Linked DNA regions of Elephas maximus indicus. The main gene of each other region encodes a partner of the protein of the gene in region 2 in a complex. Links are inferred from orthologs where the notes say so. Each region holds a gene or a part of one and is shown on either strand. Other genes may lie near its edges.

Region 1 (11,234 bases), on a different chromosome or scaffold from region 2:
GGCCCCTGTTCAAACATCATTAAGAAAGTCAAGATGAAGACAGCAGAGCATTGCACCCAGGCTTGGGCCCTTACAAAGGAGGGCCCTGTGCTCCGTGTGGTGCACTGTGTGGTGCACCCGTGAAGGTGGCCTGGGCAGAGAATCCTAGGGAGGCAGGCCCTGTCTGGTGCATCCTGTCAGCTTCCGAGAGGTTGTCCAGGACAATCGAGTCCAGTCAGGGCCACCAGGCCCCAGCATGGTCTCAGCAGGCTCAGTAGCCCCACCTGCATGGGGAGCACCTGGGGAATGACTCCAGCCCAGCCCCCTCCTCTCATAGACAGGGAAACTGAGGTTCAGGGAAAGGAAGTGATTAGTCCAGAGTCCTCCAGCAAGTGGATCCTCCAGCCAGTGGATCCTCCAGCCCAGCCTGACAGGTAAGACAGGACAGGGTCACCAGCCGGCATCCTGAGACCAGGAACACAGGAGTAACAACACACTCCTCTTGGGGACAGTGGCCTTCTACGGGAGTTGCCATCCCCGACTCCACACCTGCTTCGCTGCCAGGTTGACAGCCAGCCCTCTCCAAACCCTGATGGTTCCTGACGGCTGAGCATGAGGAAGTCCCTGGTCAGCGTGTGATGACTGGTGGTGAAGGGGCAGAGACCCTCATCCCTATTTTGCAGATAAAGGCAGGTGCAGAGAGGCTATTTGGGGAATTGGGGACTGAGCTGGGATGGGAGTCAGTTTTCCAGGCACCCTGACACAACTTTCTGCCCTCCCTTGGCTGCCTACCTCCTCCTGCTCAGGCCAGGGTGCCTGAGGCAGCTAGGGCCTGGGGCAGTGTCCCAGGGAGGGCTGTCTGTAGAGGGAGCCCAGTCCAGGGGCCAGAGGGTCAGGGCTGTTGGGCTGGGGGTAGAGTCTGTGAGCAGTACTAGGGGCAGAGCCCCTGGTAATGGGGATTCCTCTAATGCCATGGGCTGGGGCAGAGGCAAATTGGCCTGTCTCTCCCGCTCCTTCCCAGGACAGCCTGACCCCCTCCCTGCTCCTGAAAGGGAGCCCCTTTAAGATCAAGACCACCACCCATCTGTCAGTTTGTTGTACTGTGGTGGCTGGCATGTTGCTATGATGCTGGAAGCTATGCCACCAGTATTTCAAACACCAGCAGTGTCATCCATGGTGACAGGTTTCAGTAGAGCTTCCGGACTAAGAAAGACTAGGCAGAAAGACCTGGCAATCTGTTTCCCAAAATTAGCCAATGAAAACCCTATGGATCATCACAGAATATTGTTCAGTATAATGCTGGAAGATGAGCCCCCTAGGTTGGAAGGCATTCAAAATACAGAGTGGCTGCAAAAACAGACTTGAGCATACCAACAATCATGAAGATGGCACAGGACAGGGCAACATTTCATTCTGTTGTACTTGAGGTTGCCATGAGTTGGAGGTGACATGACAGCAGCAACTAACATAACACAGCATTAAGATCAAGAAATGAAGGCCCCAGCAAGGCCCTGCAGTAGCCAGACAGGCCTGGGTGGCTCTGGGGAGCAAGCCTTTTAGCCTCTGTGTGCCTCAGCTTCGTCGTGGGTGTCCTGGGGGTAATGATACCCACAAAGAGATCACACATGGGCAGTATCTCGTGCAGGGCCTGGCACACGGTAGGCTGGCAACAGGTGATAGCTCTAATCAATCCTCCTGGGGCCTCTCCCATGAAGTTCAAGGCGGGTCAACGCAAAGCACATATATTGAGTGCCTGTTGTGTGTCAGTCCTTGTGCCAAGGCAATGCGGGGGGGACTCAAAATGGACTGAATGTGGAGGGCATCTCCACAGGTTTGCAGTCACAGGAGAGATCAGATAAATTCTGCAGGACTCTGGGGAGTGAGAGACCCCTTCAGACTAGATTGGAAAGGCTTCCTGGAGGAGGAATATTTGAGCTGGGCTTGGAGGCCCTCAACACGTTGACATGGGAAAGAAAAGCACTCCAGGCAGAGGGAATAGCTTGAGAAAAGGCCCTGAGGTAGAAATGCCCAGGAAGTGTTTGGTAAACAGGAGGGTTCGGAAGCAGAAGGTGCAGCAAAATAATGGGCGAGGAAGCTAGAAGGGAAGGTTGAGAGAAGGCCAGAAAGGACCTTGAATGCCACGCGATGGAATTGGGAAGTTGTCCTGTGAGTGACAGGTGCCACTGAGGGCTTGTGAGTGAGAAGCTGGTGCTTCCTGGCTCATCCCTCCCCTCCACGTCTGACTCCTACACCTGGGTAAAATGGAAGCCCCGCCTCTGCATCCCCCAGAGGGCAGGGCCCAGGCTGGCCTCTGGACAGCACAGTGCTGCCCCCATTGGGGTCTTAGCATCTTGATTTCAAGGCTTTCTTGGCTACCTCCTCCTCCCTCCACCCCTTCTTACATTTCTCCAACTCAGACCAGCTTTCCCCTCCTTGCCCTTGCAAGGCCAGTGCTCTCCTCCCAGGTCTATGGTCTCTGAGGCCCCACTGAAAGGCCACCTCCTGCCTTTCCCCACCACCCCCTTCACCCCACCCTTAGGAAGTCTCTCTTGGCCCTGCGCAGGAGCTCACGGCACTCAGCCCGCCCAGCTCACAGCCCTCCTCCACCACGGGAGCAGGGACTAGGGCTCGCTCGGCATCACTGAATTCTCCCATCCCCAAGTGCCCAGATGGAGCATGGCGCACAGGAAGTTGCCTGGAAAGGGGCCGCCCATGCGCCCTCCCAGCTGGCCCCTCCGGCCCCAGGGCACTCACACAGTGGGGATGTACTCTCCCGGGAAGGCGTTGGTGGTGTAGCTGATGAGAAGGCAGGTCTTGCCCACGGCTCTGAAAGACAGGAAGCACAGGAGACAGCAGTCATGGGCCCCAGATACGGGGAGATTTCTGAGGCTGCTGGGTCACCCATCCCACCCCTGAGGGAAGACCTCAGTGTCTAACCAGGCCCAACCCTGGGGGTGGGGAGCAAATCGCTGTCCAGTCTAGCCCACAGTCTCCCCATCTGAAACTCCCTTTGTCTCTCAAACCCAAGAGCCCATGAGAGGCATCTGGGGTGTTTCTTAAAGTGCAGACTGAGGTCCTACCCCAGAGATTCTAACCCATAGGCGTGGGGCAGGACTGAGAATCTGCATTTTTAACCAGCTTTCTCAGGTAGTGGTGTGGGACTGAGGGTTAAGGGCAGGGGGTGCCAGGAAACCTGCCCTGTCATCACACTTCTGGGGTCCAAGCGCCCACCAGCTCCACCACTTGCCAGTGGCATGGCCTTGGGCAAATCACATAACCTGATGCCTCAGTTTCCCCATCTAGAAAATAACGCAAGTCCATCCTCTTAGGAGTGTGCCGTGAATTAAATTAGATGATGCATGTTAAAGCACTTAGCGTGCCGTGGAGCAGTCCTACTCTGAGGACATGGGGTGGCCGTGAGCTGGCAGTGGCCCGATGGCAGCAGGTCTGGTTTTTTGGTACCTGGCACTCCCTTCCCTCCTCTTTTCCTCCCACCTCTCCATGAAGCATAGCAGTTAAGAGCACCGGGTTTTGGAGTCATAGAGACCTGGGTTCAAATCCCATGAGGTCTGGGGCAAATTACTTAGCTTCCTGGAGCTTCAGTTTTCCCACCTGTAAAATGGGCCTGATTCTAGGGTCGGTGGGAGGAAAAACAGAGGAGGCGTGTCCAGCTCAATGCTTGGTACACAGCAAGTGCTAAATAAACAGTGATGGCCATTGTTCATGCCGTCTCCACCCTCGGGCTGCTGGTGTGGGAGTGGGGCCCAGGCAGCGCTGCGGGAAGCCAAGAGGCCAAAGGGGCAGCCTCGGGCCTTCCCCACTCTGCTTCGTCACTTCCTGTTCTGAGGAGTCTGCATGCCCTCTTTCCCCACTGCCGCCCTCCTTGGCCCTGCCACCAAGGTAACTTTGAATGACTGGGACGTTGCCCTTGACTTCCGCCCTCCAGTGCTCAGATTAGATACAAAGCAGAAGTGATCAGGGGTGGGCAGTGGGCAGATGATGACCACGTATCAGAATCAGCTGAGGGCTGCCTGATAACCTGCCCGCCCCCACCAGGATGTGTCCAGCCAAAGTCAGCGCCACCGGACCCAGGCTAGGAAACAGCGCGTCTCTCCAAGCCTCGAGTTGTCCCTCTGTAGGATGGGAGAGTTGGACAAGAGGGCCCTGCCCACCTAGAACATACCAGATGGACTTATGGAAAACCCCAGAATGTACCTGTGGGCTGGACCCTAAGGCGTTGTGGTAGCTGGCATGAGAGATGGATTTACAGATGAGGAAACTGAAGACCAGAAAGGGGGCCTGAAAACCTGAGGTCACTGAGAGTTTGACAGCTGTGAAGGACCTCAGCCCAGCCCCCCCGCCCCATGTCCCTCCCCTCAATCGCCTTCTATCTCATCTTCACTCCTTCTTGCCTAGTTTCATCTCTCAGGGTGCAATGTCCCCCTCCCCCTTCTCATCCTCACCCACGTACCCTACACAACCTTCCTGACCAGGCAGGTTGAAAGGGCGGCTGCCAGCCTCTCCAAGCGGGGGAGGGAGGAGGAGGTGGGGCAGGAAGGGTTTGGAGGCCAACATTTTTGAGCAGACTCTAAGATCAAGGCCCAGCCCAGTGCCGTCGAGTCATTCCAACTCATAACGACCCTATAGGACAGAGTAGAACTGCCCCATGGAGTTTCCAAGGAACGCCTGGCAGTTAGCAGCCATAGCACTTAACCACTATGCCACCAGGGTTTCCAAGAGCAAGGCAGCCACTCAAAATATCCCAAGAGATTCTAAATCAGCCCCGGGGGGCATGAACTATTATGGCTTCTTCCCAGTAGCTAAACTGAGGTTCAGAGAGGCTCTGTGACTTGCCCAAAGCCACACAGCAGGACCAAGCCAGTGATTAGAGCCCAAATTTTTGGTTCCCCACCACCACCTGCACCCACAAAGTTGAAAGCCAAGACACCCCCATGGAGGACCTGCCACCAGCACTCAGGATGCGGGTCAGGAGTCCCAGGCCCGTCATCCACCGTCCCATACCCTCAACCCAGGCAGCTTCCGGGGTGGAATGGACCAGAGAATGAAGCTTTCTGCAGCCCACCCCAGTTGCTCCCTCTGGAACCTGGACGAAGAAGCTCCTCCCAGCTGCCTCCCAGGGGCTCCTACACCTGCGGGCAGGGGGCTTCCCAAGGGACATCAGCAGGAGGGTCTCAGGGTATCCTGGTAGGGGCAGTGAGGAAGTTCTGACAGGTACCTACCCGTCTCCCACCACCACACACTTGATGGCTTGCATGGTGTCAGGGGCCTGGGGGGCAGCAGTGGTGACAGCTCAAGGCGCGGACCGTCTCTGTGGGCACCAGGGGTGTGGAGAGCCTGCGAGGCACCGGCCGGGGACAGCAGCAGCGGGAACGAGGTAGAGGAAGCGGAAGGGGAACTTACCCAATCTGCTCCCCCATGGCCGTTTGCAGAAGGCGGAGCATGTGGTCTGGCAGAACAGCTCACGCCTCTTAGGTGCTGGGCCGGGCCGGGTGCCCCATGGCCACCCCTGCACTGGGCACCAGCGGGGACATAGGACTCTCGGCTGGGAGACATGCGTCCTGTCATGGAGCAGAGCCAGAGATTGCTCTACAAGAACTTGAGGCTTCCAAGAACTCAGTCCATCTCAACTCTAAACAATAAGCATTTATTGAGCACCTACTGTGTGCCAGGCACAGTGCCGGGTGATTCCGGGGTGCAAAAGACATAGCTGGTTCCTGGAGTTCACATTCTTTATAAAGGGGAACATAAGACCTCCTCGGGGGTGGCTGTAAAGCAAGGCAGGAAGTGATGGGGCCCCAGGGGATCCACAGAGAGGGGATCTCAGAGGCACAGGAAAAGACAGCTGGAGGCTGGCAGGTGGCATTGGAGCTGGCACTTGGAAGGTGGTGTTGGAGAGGCTCTGGGGGGTGCGGTGCATGATCAGAGGCGCAGAGCTAACCCCCGGCCCCCCGCAAAGCATGGGCCTGTGTGGGAACACCTGAGTGTGGAAGGATGGGCAGTATGGGGTGCAGGTGATGAGGCAGGAAGGGGTAATGCAAGGGCAGTGCCAAGCAGTGCCCCCCACGAGTCAGGCCCTGTCCTGGGAGGCTGCAATCGCTGCTTTCAGCCTCACAGCCAGACACCCGGGAACCAAGCACCGTGGCCCCATTTTACAGGTGCAGAAACTGAGAGTTCCAGAAGTCAGGAGACTCACCAGAATCAGCCAGCCTGAAATCAAACCCAGGGCCAGGTGACTCTGAGCTCTTCTGGCACCCAGCTGCTATTTGTGAAGACACGGCCTGAGTTCTGCAGCTCTGGGGAGGGTCTCTGGGTAGCCGCAGGAGCAACACTGGTCTCTCCAGTCGGATCCAAATTCATCTAGCTGTCACTGTTTACTGCCATCTCTCTCCACCCCCAGTGCCTTCCCAGCTCCAGGGGGAAAGGACAGGAGAGGGGCTGAGCAGAGCCACTGGTCCCCTACCCTGGACTGGTCACTCAGGACAAGTGGCCAGCCAGGTACCCCTCTCGCTTCCTGCACTGGGAGAGGGTAGAGCTGGGATCCCCACAGCCACCTCCTTTCACACAGGCACCTGGAGACTCACCTGGGCCTCCTGGGAAAGGGTCAGTGTCAGGTCAATTCTGCCTTCATGCCCAGCCTTTCCAAGACTGTGCCCAGGGGCTACAGCAGGCCCAGCCTTTCCAGGGCTATGCACGCAAACTACAGGGTTTGCCAAAATGACTTTTGCAGGAAGGGAAATACAACTTCCCCAAGGGCCTGCTCCAGTACTTGACCAGTCGATCATTTGACCAGTCGATCATTAAACCAGCCAACAAACTTTGATATCTTTCCTTCTGTGCTTTGCATAAACTGAGATGAGACGGGGGAAGCATTTCATGGGGCCCAGCTTGGGATGAGGAAGGCCAGGCATCCCCCACACCACATTGGGAGTGAGTTTGGATCTCCTTGTCCAATGCCCTTGTTGCAGAGGTGCCTCCGCTCTTGCCCCACCAGCAACAAATGCTTCAGTTTTTGACCCTAATACCTCGCAACATGTTTTCTCCTTTTCAAAATGGGCGATAGAGGGCTTGGCGTAACTAACGCCATAGCGATACTCTAAGTAACCCACAAATTTTTTTTTGCTGGCATTTTGTACACTCTCAATGTTCTTTTTTATTATACCAGCTAAGCTGGTCTCTTTCCAATGGGCTGCGGGGCCTTCTCAGCTCTTGAAGCCTTGATCTCCCTCCTTTTCTTTGTTCTCTTTGGAGATGGCCTTCAGCCTGCAAGGTGACAGCTAGGAAGGCTGCCTGGTACTTTTGGTCTGCAGCTTTCTTGCTTGCTCTTTATCTCGGTCAGAGTAAACTTGGCAGGCCAGCTCTACTAGCCGAGAGATTTTTATATAAGTTTTTTTTTTTTTTTTTTTGCCTGTTACAAACATAAAGATTAGAGTCCAGATGGCCAGCATGCATATCTTTAGTTTAAAACTTTCTTGTAGTTGTTATGGGATATATACTCATCCGACCATCTGCAGGCATATGTGAAGACGCAGTAATCCTTGCAAAAATGATATATAAGCTCTGATGTAGAAATTGCTTTTCAAGACTCCATGAAAACAGCCAGCGCCGCTGGTGGACTGCCTGTTGGCGTCACCTCCTAATAAACTTTCTCTCTCTTTCTGATTTGGAGTACTTTTCATTGGCTCAACTGCTCCAGGGCACGGACCCCAATCAGATAACAAGTTCGTGCACTGGAAGCTGCTGTCTAGCCTCTGTTCACATACCTCCTATGATGGGGAGCTCATTCCCTTAGGGGGCAACCCCTTCCACCCTTGGCCAGCCTAGCCTGTCAGAAAGCCCTTCCTCATTTTCAGCCCAAGCCCACCTCCCTGGACAGGGCTTCTCAGGGCCGGTCTGCTCCCTCCTCCCCACCACAGGCCTTTGGATTTCGGAGCCACAATCTCCACCCCGCAATGAGGTGCTGGCAAATGCTTAACGATCCACTCTCTGAAAAAAAAAAAAAAGGTATTGTCATATATACATGCAGAAGTACAATATAAATTTTACTGATATAAAGGATATATAATAGTCAATTACCAACAATAAAATACACAGTGCTCCTCACTGTAAATTCCACATACAGGGAACTGATTCTCACGGAATGCTTTCATTGATTCTTGCTGAACTCTTGTGTGCAACCTAAAGTTGCAATTGACAAATGAGTTGTCATTACAACAGGAATATTGGCTGGTATTTTGGCTTATGCTAACACGTAAGAAGAAAGTGAAACAAGGAAGGCTTACATAAAAACTTCACTTGTTTGTTGATAATGGGAGTGACTGCTGTGCTGAATTAAGGGATAGTTTTTGAACGCAGGAGAAATATTTCCTCAATATTTTGTGCTCGGCACAATATTGAAAGGAGCCCTGGTGGCCCAGCGGTTTAAGCAATTTGCTGCTAAGCAAAAGGTCAGTGGTTGAAATCCACCAGCTGCTCCACGGGAGAAAGATGTGGAAGTCTCCTTCTGTAAAGATTACAGCCTTGGAAATCCTATGGGGTCATTCTACCCTGTCCTATAGGGTCATATGAGTCACAATCAACTTGATGGTAGCGGGTTTGTTTTTTTTTGTAGTTGTTTGTTTATAGACATGACATACCTTTAAGTTTAATATGTATTATTAACATTTTCTCCATCACATTAAGACTAGACAATTAAGAAAATAGTACATTAAGTCCCGATTCATGCCATTTGTCCATTTCTGACATGTAAATGCTCCCAACCAGAAATGGCTGATGTCAAGCTGCCAACGTGAGGTCCCCGGTTGCGGAGTAGGAAAGGAGCCACAGTAGCGCCCTAGATATGGTATTTCTACCGTATAGATGCAATAGATGTAAATAACCTCAAAAGTACAGATAATACTAAAATGTAGTGGAATAAGTAAATTTTGAGTATTTTTTTTTGCCTTTGTTTTTAATATACAGGTAGCCCTCAGCTTACTACGTGGTTCCATTCCCACGATTCTGCTGTAAGTCGGTTCTGATGAAAGTCAAAAGGCTCTTTTTTTTTCTTTTCATTATTATTGCCTTTTATGATCAGTATCTTTATAAATTCGATCTTGATTTGTCTTTGGGGGCTGGAAACATTCCATATAAACTTACAGATATATTTTAATACATCCAAAAATTTTTTAATTTAATTTAATAAATAGATACATAAAAATACACAAATCATAAAAATATATATAAAATCATAAAAACATATAAAATCATAAAATGTAATTTAATACATAGATACATAAAAAAATACACAAATCATAAAAATTTACTCCAACGATGAAGAGTTGGACAACGTTGGCATTTTGTCAGTTGTGGTAATAACTCCGCCTGTGGAAGGTTCCGGATCATCTGGGTTATCCCTGGGAATGGGATGGAGTTTCTACTCAGAAAATTAGTGAAAGTTATCTGTATGATCCTTTTCTTTTTTAATTCGTATATTTCGTGGTAACATCTCACTGCTTCCCAAATCTGCCTGTCAACTTCAGCGATGCAATCAGTGTCTGGGTCCATGTTTTCAAGCAACTGAAGCTCCTGATTTAGTTTAGAAAAGACTCCAGCTGGTCCTTTCCCTGTGGAATTTTTTGACAACTTCTCTCCCTCTTCTTCTTCGTTTCTTTCTTCTGCAGCATTTCCTTCCTCTTCAAAATCCATTAAGTCCTGGTCTGTCAGTTCCCCTTCTTCCTGATCTATGAGCTGTTCCACATTGATGATATCAAGTTCTAAATTCAGCGTTCTCGCCATAGGGACGATTTTTCCACTCATCTCCTCCATCATATTATCCTAATCGAATGCTTGAGGTGTGTTTGCCTAACTTGGCAATTTTTCCAAACCCCTGAATGCATGTTCCCATAACTTCCTCCCAGGAAGCTGCAGTGTTCCAGACACACTGATGTCATAATTCGAATATGCCGTAAGTCGCAGACGACCCATAATGTATTTAATTGTAAGTTTAGAATTTGGTTTTTAATAATGATTACATTTAACAACCAGCTCATGAAATTCCTGATAATTTAGCAATAGACTCTCATGAGCCGATGGAAGGTCTTCAGCATACCACTGCCTGCTTCCATGTGCCCATCTGCTGGGTACTGATCCCCAGCCCCGGCCAGCTTGTCCCATCTGTGTGTGTCCCAGCTCCCACTCAGCAAGCTAGCAGGTCCTCAGCCTCCTTGTTGTCCCTGAGAGGGGGCTGGGCAGGAGGACTCATGGACCCAAAGGTGGCAAGGTGGGAATACACAGGACAGGTGAACCAGGCAGGGGTTTCTCTCCTTCACATCATGTCCCTCTTGCTTTGGGCTGGAAGCCCCACCGTCAGTCTTTGCCCTTGGGTTGCAGCTTCTTCCAGAAGCCCTCCCCCTTCGCCTAACATCTTCACCTTCCTCCTCCTGAAGCTCCTCCGTTATCCTCATCCCTTGCCCTACAGACTTCCAATAACTCACGTTTCTCAAATGCTCCATGTTCTCCCTCATATTTTGCCCACAATGCCCATTGAAAATGCCTTTCCTCTCTCTCCCACCCATCCCTTCCTGAGACTGATAAACTCTTGCTTGCTCTTCAAGTCTTAGATCAGATGTCACCTCCTCCAGGAAGGCCTCCCAGAATCCCAGGCTGGAGTAGATGCCTTTTTTAAGCTCCCACAGTCCCTGAACTTCTCCATCACAGCAGGGATAACACTGTGTTGTGTCACCTATGTCCTTAAAAAAAAAGTGTTATTTAGTATTTAAAATGTCCCAACAGGTATAAAAGATAATACACCGAACACCAGGGTACTCACCACCCAGACAAAAATATGAACATTGCTACATAGTTAGTCCTCCTCAGACCCACTGGAAGCTCTACTGAACCCTATTCAGCATCACAGCAACAGGAAAGCCTCCACTGACAGATGGTTGGTGGCCGCCCATGAGGTGCACTGGCTGGGAATTGAACCTAGGTCTCTCACATGGAAGGCAGGAATGCCACTGCTGAACCATCACTGTCCCCTTCGCCTCAATACCAAACCAAAGTGATTGCATCTCACAGGGACATATTATCCAATCGGCAAGGTAAGCACTGTGCTTACCTTGCTTACCAGATCATCTGTAGTGAACAATTTCACATTTTTTCACCGCACCAAAGATTCTGCTTCTACGTATAGCTGGTGTCTGTCTGTCTCCCAAGCCCACACCACCTTCCTACAGAATCAAAGCCTCTTTTCAAAT
Region 2 (11,528 bases):
AAATACAAGGGACAGATTAGTCCAAAGGACTAATGGACCACAACTACAGCTTCCACCAGACTGAGTCCCTCACAACTAGATGGTGCCCAGCTACTACCAGTGACTGCTCTGACAGGGATTACAATAGAGGGTCCCAGACACAGCGGGAGAAAAATGTAGAACGAAATTCAAACTCACAAAAAAAGACCAGACCTACTGGTCTGATGGAGACTGGAGAAACCCTGATAGTACAACCTCCGGATATCCTTATAGCTCAGTAATGAAGTCATTCCTGAGGTTCACCCTTCAGACAAGAGTAGACAGGCCCATAATCAGACAAAGAGTAGACAGGCCCATAATCAAACAATAATACACATAGCTCAACCATGTATACGAGACTAAGTGGGCACACCAGCCCAGGGGTGAGGACAAGAAGGCAGCAGGGGACAGGAAAGCTGGACAAACCGAAATGGGGAGCTCAAAGTCAAGAAGGGGAGAGTGTTGACACGCCCCAGGGTTGGCAACCAATGTCACAAAGCAATATGTGTATTAATTGCTTAATGAGAAACTAATTTGCTCTGTAAACCTTCATCTAAAGCACAATAAAAAAAAAAGAATATTTTTAATTTATTGTTTGTGTATTTATTATTGGGGTGTTTTTTGGGGGAAAGGAATTGCAATTTACTTCCATTTTGAATGCATTTACGTCTTTATAATTAATTCATGTTGACAGCAAACACTTAAAAAAAATACAGATAAACCGAGAAAAGAAAACAGAAATCCCTACAATCCCAACACCTACTGATAACATTTTGGCCCATGGCCTTCCAGACTTCTCTCTGTGAAACATAAATGGAATTATGGTATGTCATTGTGTGCCATCGAGTCAATTCCAACTCATAGCGATCCTAGGTACTGTTTTAAAATCTGTTTTAAACTGAACATCTCGTATACATGGTTGAGCTACGTGTATTATTGTTTGATTATGGGCCTGTCTACTCTTTGTCTGAAGGGTGAACCTCAGGAATGACTTCATTACTGAGCTATAAGGCTATCCAGTGGTCGTACTATCAGGGTTTCTCCAGTCTCCATCAGACCAGTAGGTCTGCTCTTTTTTTGTGAGTTTGAACTCTTTTCTGTATCAATATATATGCTATTTACCTGTTTTAATATATTCACATACATATAATATAAATAGTTTATATTCTCATTTTTGTGGCCAAATTATATTTCATTAAATGGATTTTGAAAACAGATTTTGCTGGAATTCAGCAAGGTATTTTCGTTTTGTTTTTACTTTTCTGCAGTATGTTTCTTGTCATGTGACTTTGCTCTTTTTATTGTAGTGAAATATATAAAACATTACCTTTTTCATTTTAACTATTTTTATGTGTACAGTTCAGTGGCATCAATTATACTCACAATGTTAGGAAGGTTTTAATGTGGCTTCATGGTAATCCTCATTCTGTCACAGCTCAGTACCTCATAGTAGCACACTCGTGATGGCCAAAACATTTACAGCCAGGACTGCCCAGGCGGTGACACATCAGAGGGATGCTGGTAGACGGGTCAGGCCAGCTGAATATCAGGCCTATGGTGGTTACGTAGGCTAATTGTGAGCTATCACACCAATAACCAGGTCCCATGGAGCTGATTTCAGTTCATGGTGGCCCCGTGTGCTTCACAGTAGAACTGTGCTCCATAGAGTTTTCAATGGCTGGGATCTTTTGGAAATAGATCTCCAGGCCTTTCTTCTGAGGTGCCCCTGGATAGACTTGAACTTCCAACCTTTTGGTTAGCAGCCGAGTGCCTTGACCTTTTGCACCACCCGCATACTCTGAGCTATGAGACAGCAGACTTAAGATCAGGGTGAGAGGACTGCCCTCCTTCACCAGTAGGAGCTTCTGCCTCGTGCTGACTTATTGCATAACTGCCCAGAAAAGGTCTAGCCAGGCTTCCTGACAGAGACTGGGAAGATCCCTCTCAAACACCCAGTCTTGCAGCCCTGGGATCCCTCAGGGTTTCTCTGTAAACTTCCCCAGCATTGTGCAATACTGCACCACTTACTTCTCTGTCCGGTAGTAGAGCATTCCTCGTTGGAAGTAAGCCACTGCCAAGTGCTTGTCTCTGTTGATGCTTTGGGTAAAGGCCTGTGGAGAGAAGAGTCCATACAAAGCAGTGAGGAGCTGTGAGATGACCCAGAGTATGGCTCAAGGGGGTCATGAGAATGGCTGATGTCTTGAAGGTGATAGGGTTTAGGGATTAGACAGACTGGGTCAGAATGTCCTGCTTCATTACTTCCTCGTTGCCTGGCACGCAGTAAATTACCCAATCTCCTTGAACGTTTGTTTTCTGTTTTGTAAAATGGGGATATTAACATCTGCTTCTCAAAGTTATTGACAAGATTAAAATAAGAGAAAATGCATAGGAAATGCTAGTAGTAAGGGCTCGAGCAGGAAAACAAAGACATACAGAATGAGAAGACCAGAAGCAGAAGAGACAAGGAGGAGTCTGACCAGAGAGTGAGAAGGTGTGCGAGCGGGTGAGCTGAGAGGTGAGTGGTGGCCTGCACAACCTTCCAAGGACCCCCGAAACCAGGGAGCACACAGTCACAGCCGGCACAGCTGCTCCCAGACCAGCTGCTGCCCTTTCCCATCCCTTCTCCCTGACAATGCGCCCTTTGTCTTTATCACCCTCAGAGCCTGTGTGCCGTTTGCCCAACCGCTCAGCAGGCCAATGATAGAATGGGGCTGCCATCCTCCCTCCAGCCAGAGGTGGGAGCCCTCTCCTGTTCCTTCTGGCATGTGTGCTGACTCTGGAGCCTGTGTTCTACTCGTCAGGCTGAGAGGGCATTTCAGCTACTTCTCTCTCTTCCTGTTGCCTGGAATATGGCTGAGGGTTGTTCACCTTCTGTCAACTGTAAGGATGATGGTGGGAAGAACTGGGAGCCATGCATCTGTCCACACTGCCTTGCAAAGACCATCAGTGAAAAGTAAAAATAATAACTAACATTTATACAGCGGTGTGAAGTTACACAGTTGGTGCCTTGCAGTACAGACAATAAACACATTTGGCTGCTAACTAAAAGTTTGAAGGTTCACGTTCACACAGAGGCTCCTCAGATGAAAGCCTGGTGATCTACTTCCAAAACATCAGCCACCAAAAACCCTAAAGAGCACAGTTCCGTTCCGACACACATGAGGCTGCCATGAGTTGGACTCAGCTGGCTGGCTGGGCTCACTAATTCTCGCATCAAAAGCATAATGCCTAAGACCAAAGGTACGGAGAGAGGCAGAGCTGGGATTTGATCCTAGATCTTCTGCTTCTAAACTTATGTCCTTTCCAGCTTACCATGATCAATTCAAACAGTGATTATTGATAATGCTCAACCCCATACTAAGGATTTGAGGAATAAAAATATTTTTAAAAGGAAGAACACAAAAATCCTCACAACTGGACCAGTAAGCAACATCAAGATAAACAGAAAAGATTGAGGTTGCCAAGGATTTCATTTTACTTGGATCCAAAAACAATGCTCACAGAAGCAGCAGGCAAGAAATCAAAAGACAAAACTGCATTGGGCAAATCTACTGAAAAAGACCTCTTTAAAGTGCTGAAAAGCAAAGATGTCCCTTTGAAGACTAAGGGACGCCTGACCCAAGCCATGGTATTTTCAGTCGCCTCACATGCATGCGAAAGCTGGACAATGTATAAGGAAGATCAAAGAAGAATTGATGCCTTTGAATTCTGGTATTGGCGAAGAATATTGAATATACAATGGGCTGCCGGATGAATAAGTTTGTCCCAGAAGAAATACAGCCAGAATACTCCTTGAAAATGAGGATGATGAGGCTTCATCTCACTTTGGACATGTTTTCAGGAGGGACCAGTCCCTGGAGGACATCATGCTTGGTAAAGTAGAGGGTCAGCAAAAAAGAGGAAGACCCTCTATGAGATGGATTGGCACAGTGGCTGCAACAATGGGCTCAGACAATGCAGCGATTGTGAGGATGGCACAGGACTGGGCAGTGTTTCATCCTGTTGTACACAGGTTTGCTGTGAATCGGAAGTGACTCAACAGGCACCTAAACAACAATCCACACAATGCCCTTGGCAGACATTATTAATCAATCACCGTATGATTTCCTTCTGCCAGCCTCAGAATCCTTAAAAGAATGCTCCACATTATCGATCAGAGTTGGCACTTGAGGTGAAACTTGTTTTTCATAAGTGCCGTCCCCCCCTCCCCCGCCACCTACTTACTGGCAGGCAAGGCTGACACACATGAAACTCTTGGAAAGCTACCAGGCTCCTTATCATCAGGTGCTAAGTGGTAAGATGGAGACCCCATGTCCAGCAGGAGTTCATAGAAGGAAATATAAGAAGAGAAGTCTTCAGAACGGTGTTAAAGAACGATTAGAGATTGGCTTGAATTTAATAGGTGGAGGGAAAGAAGAGCATAATCTGGGGTTACTGGGTCTCAACGCTTGCGGCCCTTTAGAAGTACCCCCAGGAGCTTTTAAAAAACTAGGATTGTTTAGGTCCCACCCCAACCAATGAAATCAGAATCTTTGGAGGTGGGATCTGGGCATCTTTTGTTCTTGTAAAGCTCCCCAGAGGTTTTTGAAGTGCAGACAGGATTGAGACCCATAATTAAACAGAGGCCCAGAGGAGACCAGGGTGGAGAGAGGCCCCTCTGCTCACCTTCTCCGCCTCCGGCATGTTTTCCAGGATCGTGTGCACGCAGCCCATGTTGAAGCAAATCCTGGAGTGGGGATCCTGGACGGCGGCAAAGGCTTCCAGAGCGCCCTTCCAGTCCTTCTTGTCAGCTGCCAGCACGCCTTCATTCCAGAGGCTGATGGCTTCAGCCAGGGACATGATCAGGTGGAAACCAGGGGGCCGGGAGCACTGCCAGGGGACAGCTGAGGCCGGGCGGGGCGGGGGGGCAGGGAGCGGGTGAGGAGGAGCGTCTCCCCTAGCAGGGCGGCCCAGCTGCCCCAGGTGTTGACTTCCCTGGCCTGGTGCTCACAGTGCGGTCTAGTCTCTCTTAAGACAACTTCTCAGTGTTGCAAATGCATCAGGAAATGTCCCCACCTTTTGGTTACTGACGCATAACCCTACCAAGAGAGAGTAAGGGAAAGAGATAGAAAGAGGGTGAGCCGGGGCAGAGTGCAGACAAAGAGAGGAAGTACATCAGATTCTGCCTGCAAGGGGTCAGTTCCCCAAAATGCTTCTGCTCTGTCACCCAGCCCCTCCTTTTCTGTCCTCTGCCTTCTGCAACAGCTTCTGGCCAAGGCCCCAGGGTGACCTTGGCAGGTCACTGCCCCTCCCTGAGCCTCAATTTCCATACCTCTGTTAAATGAGGGGAAAACCTGGTGGCATAGTGTCTAAGTGCGACCGCTGTTAACCAAAAGGCGGGCAGTTCAAATCCACCAGGTGCTCCTTGGAAAACTCTCTGGGGGAGTTCTGCTCTGTCCTGTGGGGTTGCTATGAGTCAGAGTCACTTGATGGCAGTGGGTTTGGTTTGGGTTTTTTGTTAAATTAGGGAGTTGAATGAAAGAATAGTTCTTTCCAGTCTTAAATAAGTTTCTTCATTTAAGGTGGTTTTCTTCCTCTCTCTTAACCTCATGGACTGTCTTGGTATATTAGCTTTTATCTTGAGCTAAAATTAGCAGTGAACACATTTCTGAGACAGGATGGCCTTGGGGGTGTCTATCTAAGTGTAACTTTCATGAACACTTAGGGAGCACAGACGGGACCAGTTTTCTGAAAATGCTCAAACTGGAAGTCACATAGGACTGTGGATTATGACTTTCTCTGTCCTTCTGTGAAAAATTGAAGAGACACGGTGTCTACATTGATGACTAATGAGTTTACTAGTCTCCTAAAAAAAAACAGATTTAAGATTCCTCTCTTCGATGCCTCCAAAAAAAACCAAACCCGTTGCTGTCAAGTTGATTCCAACTCGTAGTGACCCTATAGAACAGAGTAGAATTGCCCCATAGAGTTTCCAAGGAGCACTGCGTGGTGGATTCAAACTGCTGACCTTTTGGTTAGCAGCCGTAGCACTTAACCACTACACCACCAGGGTTTCCCTTTGATGACTCAGCAAAATAAAATTCAATAAAATCTGCCTGAAGAAAAATTGGGCGTAGCGGATATAACCAATTTGACTTATTAAATTCTGGTAAATATTAGATATTATTAAGTAAACTGCATGTTTACTTCATTCAAATATTCAGATGCCAACTCTTGTTCTGTACAACCAAAAGATTTCACCAATTATCACCAAGCTTCCCCTAAAAGCTTGAAAATAAAACTTTAAAATGAACACTTAACAGGGCTTGTCAGATAGATGGTGTGAGAATTGAGAAGACATGCACAGACTGTTTTCGCTGTTTAGAAGGCCTTCCCACCTCACTTCTTTGCCTGGCAAACTCCTTCTCATTCTTAAAGACCCAGTTAAAAATTTACCACATATGCCAAACCTAGCCCTGCACTCTCAAGGAATAGAAACAATTTCTCCCTCCTCTATAGCATCTCTTCCCTAACATATACCACATTAAATTTTATTGCAATTTATGTCTTCATCTGCCTTTAGCATACCTCTTAAGCCCCTTGAGATTTGGAACCATGCCTTTTCACTCTTGGGTCCTCAGTGTCAATACTGAATAAATGACATAGGAATGCATTTCAAAGGAAATTAAAGACCATTGGCAAACAACCTAGGTAGCAGTAATGCCAGGAAGAGGTATTGCTATTCCAATCGGTGAGTAAATAATCAAAACTTAAGTAGCACATTAATTATTTCTAGGGAAAACAAGTGATTCTGCCATTAAACTGTTGTTGTGAGGTGCTGGCAAGTTGATTTTCGACTCATAGCAGCCCAGTGACAGAGTAGAACTACCCCAGAGGGTTTTCTAGGCTGTAATCTTTACGGAAGCAAATCATCAGGCCTTTCTCCCTCGGAGCAGCTGGGTGGGTTCTGTTAAAACAAAAATCATATTAAGCCAAAAAAAGAAACTGATCGAAGTTTATTTAATATACACTTTGCAAATTGCAGTAACATTTTAACTGTTGTTCGCTGCTGTGGAGTTGGTTCCAACTCATAGTGACCCTGTTCCAACTCATAGCGACCCTACGTAAAACAGAACGAAACACTGAAGTCCTACACCATACTCACAATCGTTGCCACGTTTGAACCCATTGCTGTAGCAGTTGTCAATCCACCTTGCTGAGGGTCTTTCTCTTTTTTGCTGATCCTCTACTTTACGATGTCCTCCTCCAGGTACTGGTCTTTCCTGGTAGCATGTCCAAAGTCTGTGAAACAAAGTCTTACCACACTTGATTCTAAGGAGCATTAGGGCTGTACCTTTTCCAAGACAGATTTGTTCATTCTTCTGACAGCCCATGGCATATTCAACATTCTTCATCAACACCATAATTCAAAGGCATAAATTCTTCTTCCGTCTTCCTTATTCATTGTCCAGTTTTCTCATGCATATGAGGCAACTGAAAATACCATGGCTTGGGTCAGGCATACCGCAGTGCTCAAACTGACATCTTTGCTTTTTAATACTTAAAAGAGGTGTTTTGCAGCAGATTTGCCTGTTGCAATATGTCATTTGATTTCTTAACTGCTGCTTCTGTGGGCATTGATTTTGGTTCCAAGTAAAATGAAATCCTTGACAACTTCAACCTTTTCTCTGTTTGTCACGATGTTTCTTATTGGTCCAGTTGTGGGGATTTTTGTTTTTTTTATGCTGAAGTATAATCCATACTGAAGGCTGTAGTCTTTGATCTTCATCAGTATTTCCAGTCTTCTTCATTTTCAGCAAGAAAGGTTGTGTCATCTGCATATCTCAGGTTGTTAATGAGTCTTCCTCCAATCCTGTTGCCTCATTCTTCCTTGTATAGTCCAGCGTCTCAGATTATTTGCTCAGCATACCAACTGAGTAAATGTGGCAAAAGGATACAACCCTGATATACACCTTTCCTGATTTTAAACCATGCAGTATCCCCTCGTTCTGTTCAAACACCTGCCTCTTGGTCTACATACAGGTTCCAAATGACACTTCAGTGTTCTGGAATTCCCATTCTTCATGTTACAGAGAAAAAACCACTCACTCCTTGAAATAAGCTTTATTTATTAAAAAGAAAAGAAAAGGTCATTCAAATGCAGAGAGACAGCAGGTCACATAAGTAAAAACTGATAACTCCAGTGAGAGAGCTCCTAACAGGAAGAGATACAGTCCAAGGAATAAAGAAATGATAACACAATAATTTGATTGGTTAGTCTTTGATTGAGGTCACAAGAAGGGTGGTTTAGGAGGTGGGGAATGGGCTCCTATTGGATAATTAGATACAGAGGCTTATAGTAATTGATTTCAGGGAATAATTACAGAGATTTTCAATCACAGTCACATATCTTTCAGGGGAGGTCATAAGAACATCACTGATTGATGTTAAGCAGCTATAACTAGATGTTTCGGGGATCCATGATAACCATTCAGTACCAGCACCACATTTCCCAGTAACAACTTGTTCAAACAAAACCCTTTTAAGTTGCCTGGGAAACTTTAGAGAACGCTAGTTCCAGGACCTTTTCAAAACTTTTTTTTTTTTTTTTTAATTACATCCTTGTTATAAAGAAACATTTCCTAGGCCCACTTTGCACAAAAAGACACCTGTGTCAAGATTCCCTTCCTCAGAATGTATTTCTTTTACATTCTGGCTTAACCACACAGTTCTCATGAATGCTAGCAATTAAGGAGCCAAATAGCAGGTGCTTGTGAAAAGCCTGGGCTGACTCTACTGTTAGCTAGGCAAATAAAGAGTCTTGGGCAGGCATGTGAAAAGACCAGTTTAATTCAGCAAAAACTGAGTTTAATTCAATCATTTAGTCCTGGTCAAAAAGGCTTCATGAACTTCTCCTTTACATTTGCAACATTATCTACAATTTGTTATGATCCACGTAGTCGAATGCTTTTGCATAGTCAATAAAACATTTCAACTACAGAGTCAAAAATACTCTGAAGATGAGAAAACACCAAAGATTCTTACAACCCATCTCACAGACAGTGCCAGGGAATTGGGGCCAGAACAGTGTTTCCATAATAATTTATCCTAAAACATAACTTCTAGTCTGACCTTGGAGTTTCTGTTTCTTGAAACTGACTTCACATAGGTAATTCTTCACAAGGCCCAAGGTGGGTATTTTTTTACAAATTAAGCTAGGCTATTTTGACCTAAAGGTAACTTTAAGAAGAGCAGTTTCTTCATGGCTCAAAGTTCAAAAGAAGGTCTTAGAGAAATGGCCTGAGTGGGTCATCCCAACTCCATGGATCCCAGAAGTCCAGATTTCAGAAGAATTAAATCTGTTTCTCATTTTGAACCTCTAACCTTTCAGGTAGCAGCTGAGCGCTTAAATGTTGCACTACCAAACCGAAAAATAAAACCTGTTGCTGTTGAGTTGATTCCAACTCAGCGATCCTACAGGATGGAGTAGAACTGCCCCATAGGGTTTCCAAGGAGCAGCTGGTGGATTCGAACTTCCAACCTTTTGGTTAGCACCCTGAGCTCCTAACCACTGCATCATCAGGGCTCCGTTGCAACACCAGGACTCATTATTTAAACGTTTTTAGTCTTATCGTTTATATTATTATCCTAGCCTGACACTCAGAATTCTCTTCGATCTGACCCCCATGACTTTTCTTACCTCATTTCCCAGAACTTCCCTTCACAAACCCACTTCTTCATACAAATGCTACTATGTTCTTCTCCCTCTATACGCCTTCATTTCCTGCCTTCACCTGGGCTGTTCCTCTCTCTGGGCTGCTTTTTCCTGCATCTGCCCCTTCAAACCCACCTTGCACAACCTTTGATGCCTTGCTCAAACATCACTTTCCTTTAGAAGCTGGCCTAAAATCAGGCCCAAACCTGTGATTTCGCCTTCTTTTGAACTTCCTCAACTCCTTCCCTACACCTCCCACATGTCACTTAACAGTCTCCACCGAAGTAGAATTACTTAAGTGCATGCTGTCTTAAGGAGTCCTGGTGGCACAAACGGTTAAGAGCTCTGCTGCTAACCAAAATGTTGGTAGTTCAAAACTACCCAGCAGCTCCGTGAGAGAAAAATCTGGTGATCTGCTTCTGTAAAGATTATAGGATAAGAAACCCTATGAGGCAGTTCTACTCTGTCTCATGGGATCATTATGAGTCAAAATAGACACACTGGCACCCAGCAACAACAACAATAACAACATGCATGTCTTAGCCCTCAAATGGACCTCAGCACCTGGAAAAGAACTCCTGGGACTGACCCATTCTTGTATTCCCCAGAGCACTAACAATGCCATTCATGCTCAATTCTCTCCATTCCCTCTTCCCTTACTGTTGCCACCCAGGCCAAGCCACCATCAGTTCATGGATTAATGTTACAGCCTCCTACCATCTCCTACCCCCTCCATCAGTTCTCCACACAGCAGCCAGATGAATCTTTTTAAAACTACAAGTCAGGTCACATCAAGCCCCTGTTTTAAGTTCTTTTATACCTTTGCATTGCTCTTAAGATAAAACCCAAATCCTTCCCATAGTGCAGGGAAGGACCCTGCCTGCTGTTTCACCTTTGTTTGGTGCTATTCTTCCCCTCCCTCCCAGGATTTTAGCCACCCTGGTCTCCTTTCATGTTCTTGAATGAGCAAAGCCTGTTACCTCTACCTGGAATGCTCTTCCCCCAAAGCTTTGCCTGGCTAGTTCCTGCTCATCTTTCACTTCCTCAGTGGCCTGTCTGATCCTGTGACCTCACTATGATTCCCTGTTATCTCTCTCACAATACATGGCTTTCTCTGGTCCTGGTATTTGCCACAATTTATAATTGTATATGCATCCCCACTGCAGAGACATTCTATTTAATCCTTATGTGATACTGCCGGTAGGTGGCCTTTCCAGCTGTCATTCATTCACCTTCCTCCTTTTGGTAGAATCCCAGTTCTGTACAAGTCTCCACTTCATGAGCTCCAGGGGAGATAAGTCCCAAGCACTACCCCAGGGAGTGGGTTCTGATTGGTTTAGGCATGAGCATGAGATATAAATCTAGTCAATGAGATGTTAGTGGAAGTCTGGAAAGAATTTCTGGGAAAGGTTTTTTTTTTCTCACTGATTAAAAAAAAGACACATGAGAGGAAACAGTACTTGTTTCTCCAAATAGTGTCATGAAGATGTAGTGCCAGGAACAGTGGCAACTGTATTGTGATCAGGAGGGCAACTAGCCAAGAATAACTCATTATGCTGAGGAGAAGAGAATGGAGAAATAAAAGAACCTGGCTTCCTCATTATGCTGGTGAGCTCATAAATTAACCAATATTGGAAGTGACCTACTTCAGGAATTCTTGTTTGGTGAGATAGTTAATCTGTCTATTGCTGAAGCCAGCTGAATGACAATTTCTTTTCTCCACAGTTTAAAATCTCCTGCTAGACACATCATTGTATTCTCAATACCAAGCACGGCACTTGACATATAGTAGGTGCTCAATAAAACTTACGTTGGA

What was found.
Region 1: NCF2 (region 2) and RAC2 share a complex: the UniProt entries of both Homo sapiens proteins name them as parts of the phagocyte NADPH oxidase complex. The link is inferred for Elephas maximus indicus from reciprocal best matches to the Homo sapiens genes NCF2 and RAC2.

What each region holds. Positions count from the first base shown.
Region 1 is NC_064822.1:181,091,244-181,102,477, forward strand, and holds the start of RAC2 (ras-related C3 botulinum toxin substrate 2), read right to left. Parts: upstream 5,392-11,234; 5' UTR 5,255-5,391; coding exon 5,220-5,254; intron 2,806-5,219; coding exon 2,734-2,805; intron 1-2,733. UniProt on the Homo sapiens protein: Plasma membrane-associated small GTPase which cycles between an active GTP-bound and inactive GDP-bound state.
Region 2 is NC_064842.1:47,062,054-47,073,581, forward strand, and holds the start of NCF2 (neutrophil cytosol factor 2), read right to left. Parts: upstream 5,110-11,528; 5' UTR 4,858-5,109; coding exon 4,684-4,857; intron 2,130-4,683; coding exon 2,047-2,129; intron 1-2,046. UniProt on the Homo sapiens protein: Subunit of the phagocyte NADPH oxidase complex that mediates the transfer of electrons from cytosolic NADPH to O2 to produce the superoxide anion (O2(-)).